2 linked regions of the Tribolium castaneum genome follow. The protein of the gene in region 1 interacts with the protein of each later gene in a pairwise test. Links are inferred from orthologs where the notes say so. Each region holds a gene or a part of one and is shown on either strand. Other genes may lie near its edges.

Region 1 (2,922 bases):
GAAATGCACAGTTTATCAATAAATTCTAAGAAATTGTTGACGCTTGTAGTAAACACAAAGTGAGGTTAAAAATGGTTCGCTCTTATCAGACTTTTTGCTTTGCATTGTGAAAAAAATTACAGACAAATAATACTGTGTGAATAATCCAATTAGGAAATACAGGCTAAGGTTATACATTACAAAATTAAACAATAGTACACGTATGAAACAATTTAGTTCTTCAATAATAAACAAGTTTCACGTTTCCCGAATTTCTCATAAAAACTTATTTGCTAATATCGTCTAGTCCCCAGGCGTGACTCGCGGGTGGGAATCCCACAAAAAGTGCCAACCTTTGGTAACTTTGGTTATTACCACCAGACACCATTCTAATTTAAACATGAACAAACGCTCATAATTTAATAAATAGTATTTATGCAAGTAGAAAATTATTAACGCATCCAAATGAGCGTATCGATGGTATTGTTAAAGATGTAAAATTGCTTTTTGGGGGATTGGGTGATTCAAACACTTGCGATCGTTTTAAAAACTTTATTGATGACATTGAGACAGTTAGGCATTAGCTTTATTTGTCTATTTTATGTTTGTTGAGAAGTATATTATAAATTTAGTGTCTATTTACTTATTACTTAACACGTTCACCACCTCGAAGTGGAGTAAAATTGAAAATCAACTGCTGTAGAAAGTCTTGCAATGTTTGTATTGTGGAAAACAGACAATAACAGAATGAGTGAATACAATAACAATAACAGTGAAACACAGGCAGCAAACGTGTGGACTATATACATAAGTTATTTTTCGAAGAATTTTTTGTTTTTATATTTTTTTAGATTGTTTAAGCCCGATAAACATTCCAACTAACTTAAAAAGTGGGCGTGAATATTTATTTCCAATGATTTAAGTTTTTTATTTATAATATACGTTTGTAATACAATATAAAATAATGCTCCTAACACACTCGTTTTTCTCATTTTTGTTTAGGTACAAGTTTCCAGAATTGCAGTTTTCGTATATATCGTATATTAATAACAAAATAATAAATACTTATCAAATAAAATTTTAACTATTTACAATTTATCCCTTAAAAATATTAAATTCGTTAAAATATTTGCAAATTTTTGTATACATGACGAATCCAACACATCCTAAGATTTCAGTCCATTGGATCACAAAGTTTTACACTCAACTATGCTAGAATTTTGTTTCTAATCAGTCGGACATAAGCAACAAAACCAAAAGAAGCACAAGAAATACACTGAACATAAAATGTCACACGCATGTTATTGTTCCACATGAGAATGATGTTTAGATGTGGTTACATGAATCACCTAATGACCAAAATGCTGTACAAGACAGTTGGCACTATCTAAATATAACAAGATTTAGGCCGAACTTCCTAACAAGAAAAATCGGGGGGAATAATGGCATGACTGCAATATTTTCGCTCGCAGAAAAGCCGCTTCCACCCGTGATAAAATAAAACTAAACGAATTTCACTTTTGAGTATTTATTAATAACAAAATGAGAGGTCGTACAAAATAATTTAATTAACAAAATAGAGTAACAGTATTGCAATCAGCCATTACATTATATAAACATAAAAAATCTAAAACATTTTTTTCTAAATTAAAAAAAGTTTTCTACTATATACATTAGGCTGATTTTAACACATGATAGTTAACGTTTGTCGCAATTACTACGATGAACTCTTGTTGATATACTTAGATTCGGCCAACCTATGTATGGACGCATCGCCATCACCCAGTTGTGTCACCTGCAAAGCACCAAATAACCATATAATGACCTTGCTAGGTCCAACATTCACACGTAAGCCGGTCACGTTAGTAGTGGACAGAGTTAGTCATGACCATGCAATGAGCGTCACAAAAACAAACAGAAAATGAAAACACATGCACAAACTACACAAGTCACGTCAAAAAAAGAATCTCCTTCATTGTCGACTTATTTATTGAATTAATAAATAAAAGAGTGTGTTAAGACTATAAAAAGTGCTTAAAATTACAAGATAAACTACATAGATACAATTCAACAAAGTAATATCTACCAGAAAAATAACAAAAACACGGTACAATCCTAAGTATAAATCGATAAAAAAATTGCACTCTTATAAATTATTTACAAATTTCTCTAAACCCTTCATATATCACGTCATCTTAACTAGCACGAGGTCCGAAATCGTGTCTCTAAATCGCACACATCACTCCGGGGGCGGTGGGGGCGGTATGTCCGGCGGCGCGTCCATCGGCAGGGGCGGGTTGGACCCTGCCGGGGGCGGCAGCGGCGGCGCCTGCTGATACATTTCCGGCGGCGGAAACGCGTATCCCCCATTATAATAATTGTACATCTGATTCTCGGCCGGATACATATACTGACCCACCCCCATATGCGGCGGATAATAGTACATGTTTTGCGTGTACATCGGCGGCGGCACGCTGTGATAGGTGGACGCGGGGGCGGCGGGGGGCGGAACGACCGCCCCCATCGCACTACTCTTACTATATTCGCTTACCTTATTATACGAATGTCTCCCGTTCTGTTTGGAGTCCTTGCTGCGGGAGAGCTTTGCAGGGGGGCCGCCGTCGGCCGGACTACTGCGATCCCGCTCCCGTTTCCGGCTTTTCTCGCTTTCCGGATTGCAGTTATTGATGATTTCGCGCGGGATCTTGATTTTGAGACCGATTGGTGGCGGCGCCGGCGCTGGATTCTCCTCAGTCTTTATCACGTCTTTCGGGATTTTTATCTTGATAGGGTTCGGCATTTGCTGGATCTTGTCTTTCTGGATCTTGATTTTGATTGGTTCGGCCGCCGGCTCGGCCACCTTCTCTTTGTGCTTGTGCTTCTCCCTGTCTTTATCTTTGTGTTTCTTCTTCTTCTCTTTCTCGTCTTTGCTCTTGTCCTTGT
Region 2 (4,238 bases), on another chromosome or scaffold:
TATAGTCTACACCTATAAAGACCACTCTCAACCATTAACCCTCTACGGCCCACTGCCAATAAAATCACAAAACTGATCCTTCTCATCCCTTCAACTGACCACCCTCATTACGTAAAGAATGTAAATACCACCGCAGAGCCAACTGCGGAGGAATTTACGCTAATTTCAAATGTATAGATGTTTGTTGTAGGGTTGTACAATAGTATAATCATCGAACTATGTGTGTAATTATTACGATTCATTTTAAACATAATATTTTCGGTTATTGTTTCGTATGTAATATTTTTTACTTAACTATAAATGTGGATGTGGATTTAATCTAACAATATTATATCACTGTATTTGACACATTCAGACAAAGAAATAAAATGTTTAACATTAAGCTGTTGGTTTTCATTCCCCCAGCACGCCGCAAGGAGGATTTGGATACGTAGTTATTTTAAGAAAAATGAAATGTTTTATTTGGTATAATTCAAGTGGCAGCTTACTTCAAGTTTCTGTCTCACAAGAAGCTTTCAGAAAAAAATTAAACTCAAGAATAATATCAACTGATAAATAATTATAAACCAATAAGCACAAAATATGAATGATCGCTAATTGCAAGCTCCCTGATTAATTATTCAACCATTAAAACCTTCATATTGAATTATAAATCGATCCTTCGGAGAGAAACAATATTATTCTCTTTCTTTAAGATTTATATCAGTTAGAAATTCTATTTATTTTTAAGTAGTACCGTTGAGGTGCCCTTCCAGTTAACAACAATTTAACAGTCTTGTTAGGCATTTTAAACATATTATTAGTCAAGCCAATTTTTGTCCGATTGGCGGTTACAGGGTTGCAACTCCTTCAAAACCTGCTACCAACTGAAACATTGATTCTGGATCACTTTGTATCAAAAATGAATACACAGACCAAAATTAGCTTGTCTTCAAAAAAGTTAATTTAGGAATTCCTTCTTACCTTTTGCTCCTGCGATGAAATTACACGCGAAGATGCTTCTTCCAAAGAAGGAAACGAAGGAAATAAGATGAAAACAGGAAGGACAAGGAAAAATATTAATTTTCACAATTCGACGACACTTGAATATAACGGCGGAGAGTTCTCAAAAATCTGAAAAGCTCTTACTTAAAATAGTGTTTCAAACACAAAACACAACGTCATGGTACCTTTTTTCCCTTTTTTCCGAACCCAGAGTACCATCAAGACACTTCAAGACCATGGAATATCAGCGACCTCTTCACAAAATGAAATTAAGTACTATTCGTAAACAGAAAACTGTAATCTTCTTAAATCAACAAAAGGCACAACAAAAAATATGATTAAGAACGCAAAAGTGTTAATATTGATTACTAAAGTCTTAATTTTTACGAATGATAATGATATTATCATTTCCTATTTTCTTTAAATAAATAATTATATAAATAAATTTGTTGGTTTACTGCGTTTGTAGTTAGAACATTTTGGTAGCAGTGCCAAAATGCTAAAAGTTATCAATTGGTGTTACAATTTGGTAGATTTTTTTTTAATTTCGATAAAATACTGTATTTTTCGAGCTGAAAACCATTCGCGAGCAGGCTCACCCAACCGCGCTTTTTTTCCGTGACATTGTCTATTGTCATATGTCATTCCTGGAGGTTATGTTTTGATTGTGTGTGTTTTTAGTGCAATTGTGATTCAGAAAAAAGCAGCGGAAATGCATTTAAGTACTTTAAATGTGGTGTTTTAAACCTTCACACGTTTCTTCTTAATTGACGAAAAACTGTGCTAAATATTGCCTTGTCTAAAGCTTGTGCAACGTTAGACAAGAGGCGATTTTGCAATCATGAATATGCGAGATAAAGAGAAATACATTGAAAATTTCCATTTCCCGTTCTGTGATGAATCGGAAAAATACGAGAAAATTGCGAAAATTGGCCAAGGAACGTTCGGGTAAGTGACTTAGTTGGGGTTACTTGGGGTCACATATTGTGCCCCATTTGTTGTATTTCTCCGATTGTAGTGAAGTGTTCAAGGCGAGGGACAAAAGTAATCCTAAGAAATTCGTAGCAATGAAAAAAGTGTTAATGGACAATGAAAAAGAGGGCGTAAGGGGTCATTAATTTTTTGCAAAGCTTTCAAACTTGTATTCTAGTTTCCAATCACAGCTTTGCGCGAAATACGAATTTTGCAACTATTGAAACACGAAAACGTTGTTAATCTTATAGAAATATGCCAAACTAAGGCTGCATACCGCAACAGATACAAGTCAACGTTTTATTTAGTGTTCGATTTTTGTGAACACGACTTGGCCGGGTTGTTGTCAAACGTCCACGTTAAGTTTAGTCTAGGAGAGATAAAAAAAGTAGTGCAACAATTATTTAACGGTCTGTATTACATACACAGCAACAAAATTCTTCATAGAGATATGAAAGCCGCCAATGTGTTAATTACAAAGAATGGTGTTTTAAAATTGGCCGATTTTGGCCTAGCTCGTGCATTTAGTACCAATAAGAATGGACTGCCAAATAGGTGAGTTCAAACAGTAAATTAAAAAATTGGTCACTAGTTTGTAATCTACTATTTCAGATTTACAAATCGTGTCGTTACGTTATGGTATAGGCCTCCAGAACTGTTGTTAGGTGAAAGAAACTACGGCCCCCCAGTTGATTTGTGGGGGGCTGGCTGTATTATGGCCGAAATGTGGACAAGGTCCCCCATAATGCAGGGCAACAGCGAGCAACAACAGCTCACTCTGATTTCTCAACTTTGTGGCACCATCTGCCCCCAGGTCTGGCCAGGAGTTGAGAATCTGGAGTTGTACAAGAAGATGGAACTCCCCGTCCAAAAGCGAAAAGTAAGTCCCGTAGGAACAAAGATCGCTTCAATTATAAGCCTAGAATATTTATTTAATCCTCTGTACGAGGTAATGTTTCCACCACGTTCTGAACTGTAGTTTATAAACCGTAATTATTTACATATAAATTCGGAAAAAATGTGATTAAACAAGATCACAGATTTTATTTTTATTATTATTATTTTTTAATCTTCTCCAGGTGAAAGAGAGGCTGAAGCACTACATGAAAGACCCGTACGCTTGTGATTTACTCGATAAGCTGTTGGTCCTCGACCCCGCCAAACGGGCCGATGCTGATACGGCCCTCAACCATGACTTTTTCTGGACTGACCCAATGCCATGCGATTTGAGCAAAATGTTAGCCACTCACACTCAAAGCATGTTTGAATATTTGGCTCCGCCGAGAAGACCGACACAAATGAGGCATCATTCGTTGCCAAGACCGACAACTTCCGCTGTGCAAGACAGCGGATACCAAGATAGGGTTTTTTAGTTGTAAGAAACACGGACATTGTGGTTATTTTCAAGTAATGTGGAAATTGTTTCTAAAGTGGAAACATAACTGAAGGTTTTTCGGGAACCCTAAAATTTGATGTTACTTTTTATTATCTTTTTGTAACGTTTAATATGATGTTACTTAGTTAACATAGCGAATAAACTGTGTAAAAACGCTTGGTGTTTTTTTGGGGTGGAATGAAATGACTTGTTAGTACATATTATATATTTTATTGGTTTGACTGCACTGCCATCCGGCCTTACAATTCAACAACATGGCACACTGTACATGTATCTGTAAAATAATATATATGTATCTGTACATATCTGTTAGCTTGTTTCATAGATCCTCTACATAGGTAAATAACATTCTTGAAGGAGAAACCTTCATTCAAGGCACTTCAATAATCATTGTCTTCTCTTCATTTAATTAGATGTAGTTTCCTACCCATTTCAAATTGTTCTAAATTAACGCAATAACATTGTAACTCTGTTGCTAATTTAGTTGAGCTTACCGAAAGTTTTGGCAAAAAGAACTGGTAAATAAAATGAACCACTCATAACAATGACCTTTCAGAATACTGATTACGAAACCGTAAAATTTTGAAGGCAAATATCACAGAATGCCCAACAAATTACACATTAAATCACATTTAATTGTAAAACATTGCGGAGGACGTCAAACTTAACAAACGAGAAATTAATCAATCATGGCATATTTACATTTTCGGGCGCGGTTAAATTTAACCCCTCCTTCACTTAATTAACTTAACATTAAATTGAATTTATCTAAGACATTCTGTATATACACAATAAATAACAATTCTTGTCACCAAATTTGAACGATCTGAATTACAAGCATTAAGGATAACCGTCAATGTAGAAAAGCACAGAGTGAGGTATATGT

What was found.
Region 2: the proteins of CycT (region 1) and Cdk9 interact in a two-hybrid assay, tested with the Drosophila melanogaster proteins (2 studies listed by BioGRID). The link is inferred for Tribolium castaneum from reciprocal best matches to the Drosophila melanogaster genes CycT and Cdk9.

Annotation. Positions count from the first base shown.
Region 1 is NC_087396.1:19,989,730-19,992,651, forward strand, and holds the end of CycT (cyclin-T), read right to left. Parts: coding exon 2,219-2,922; 3' UTR 1,775-2,218; coding exon of another isoform or gene 1,697-1,774; 3' UTR 517-1,696; downstream 1-516. UniProt on the Drosophila melanogaster protein: Regulatory subunit of the cyclin-dependent kinase pair (CDK9/cyclin T) complex, also called positive transcription elongation factor B (P-TEFb), which is proposed to facilitate the transition from abortive to production elongation by phosphorylating the CTD (carboxy-terminal domain) of the large subunit of RNA polymerase II (RNAP II).
Region 2 is NC_087394.1:32,585,385-32,589,622, forward strand, and holds Cdk9 (cyclin-dependent kinase 9), read left to right. Parts: upstream 1-1,599; 5' UTR 1,600-1,825; coding exon 1,826-1,932; intron 1,933-2,002; coding exon 2,003-2,087; intron 2,088-2,134; coding exon 2,135-2,511; intron 2,512-2,568; coding exon 2,569-2,836; intron 2,837-3,035; coding exon 3,036-3,329; 3' UTR 3,330-3,507; downstream 3,508-4,238.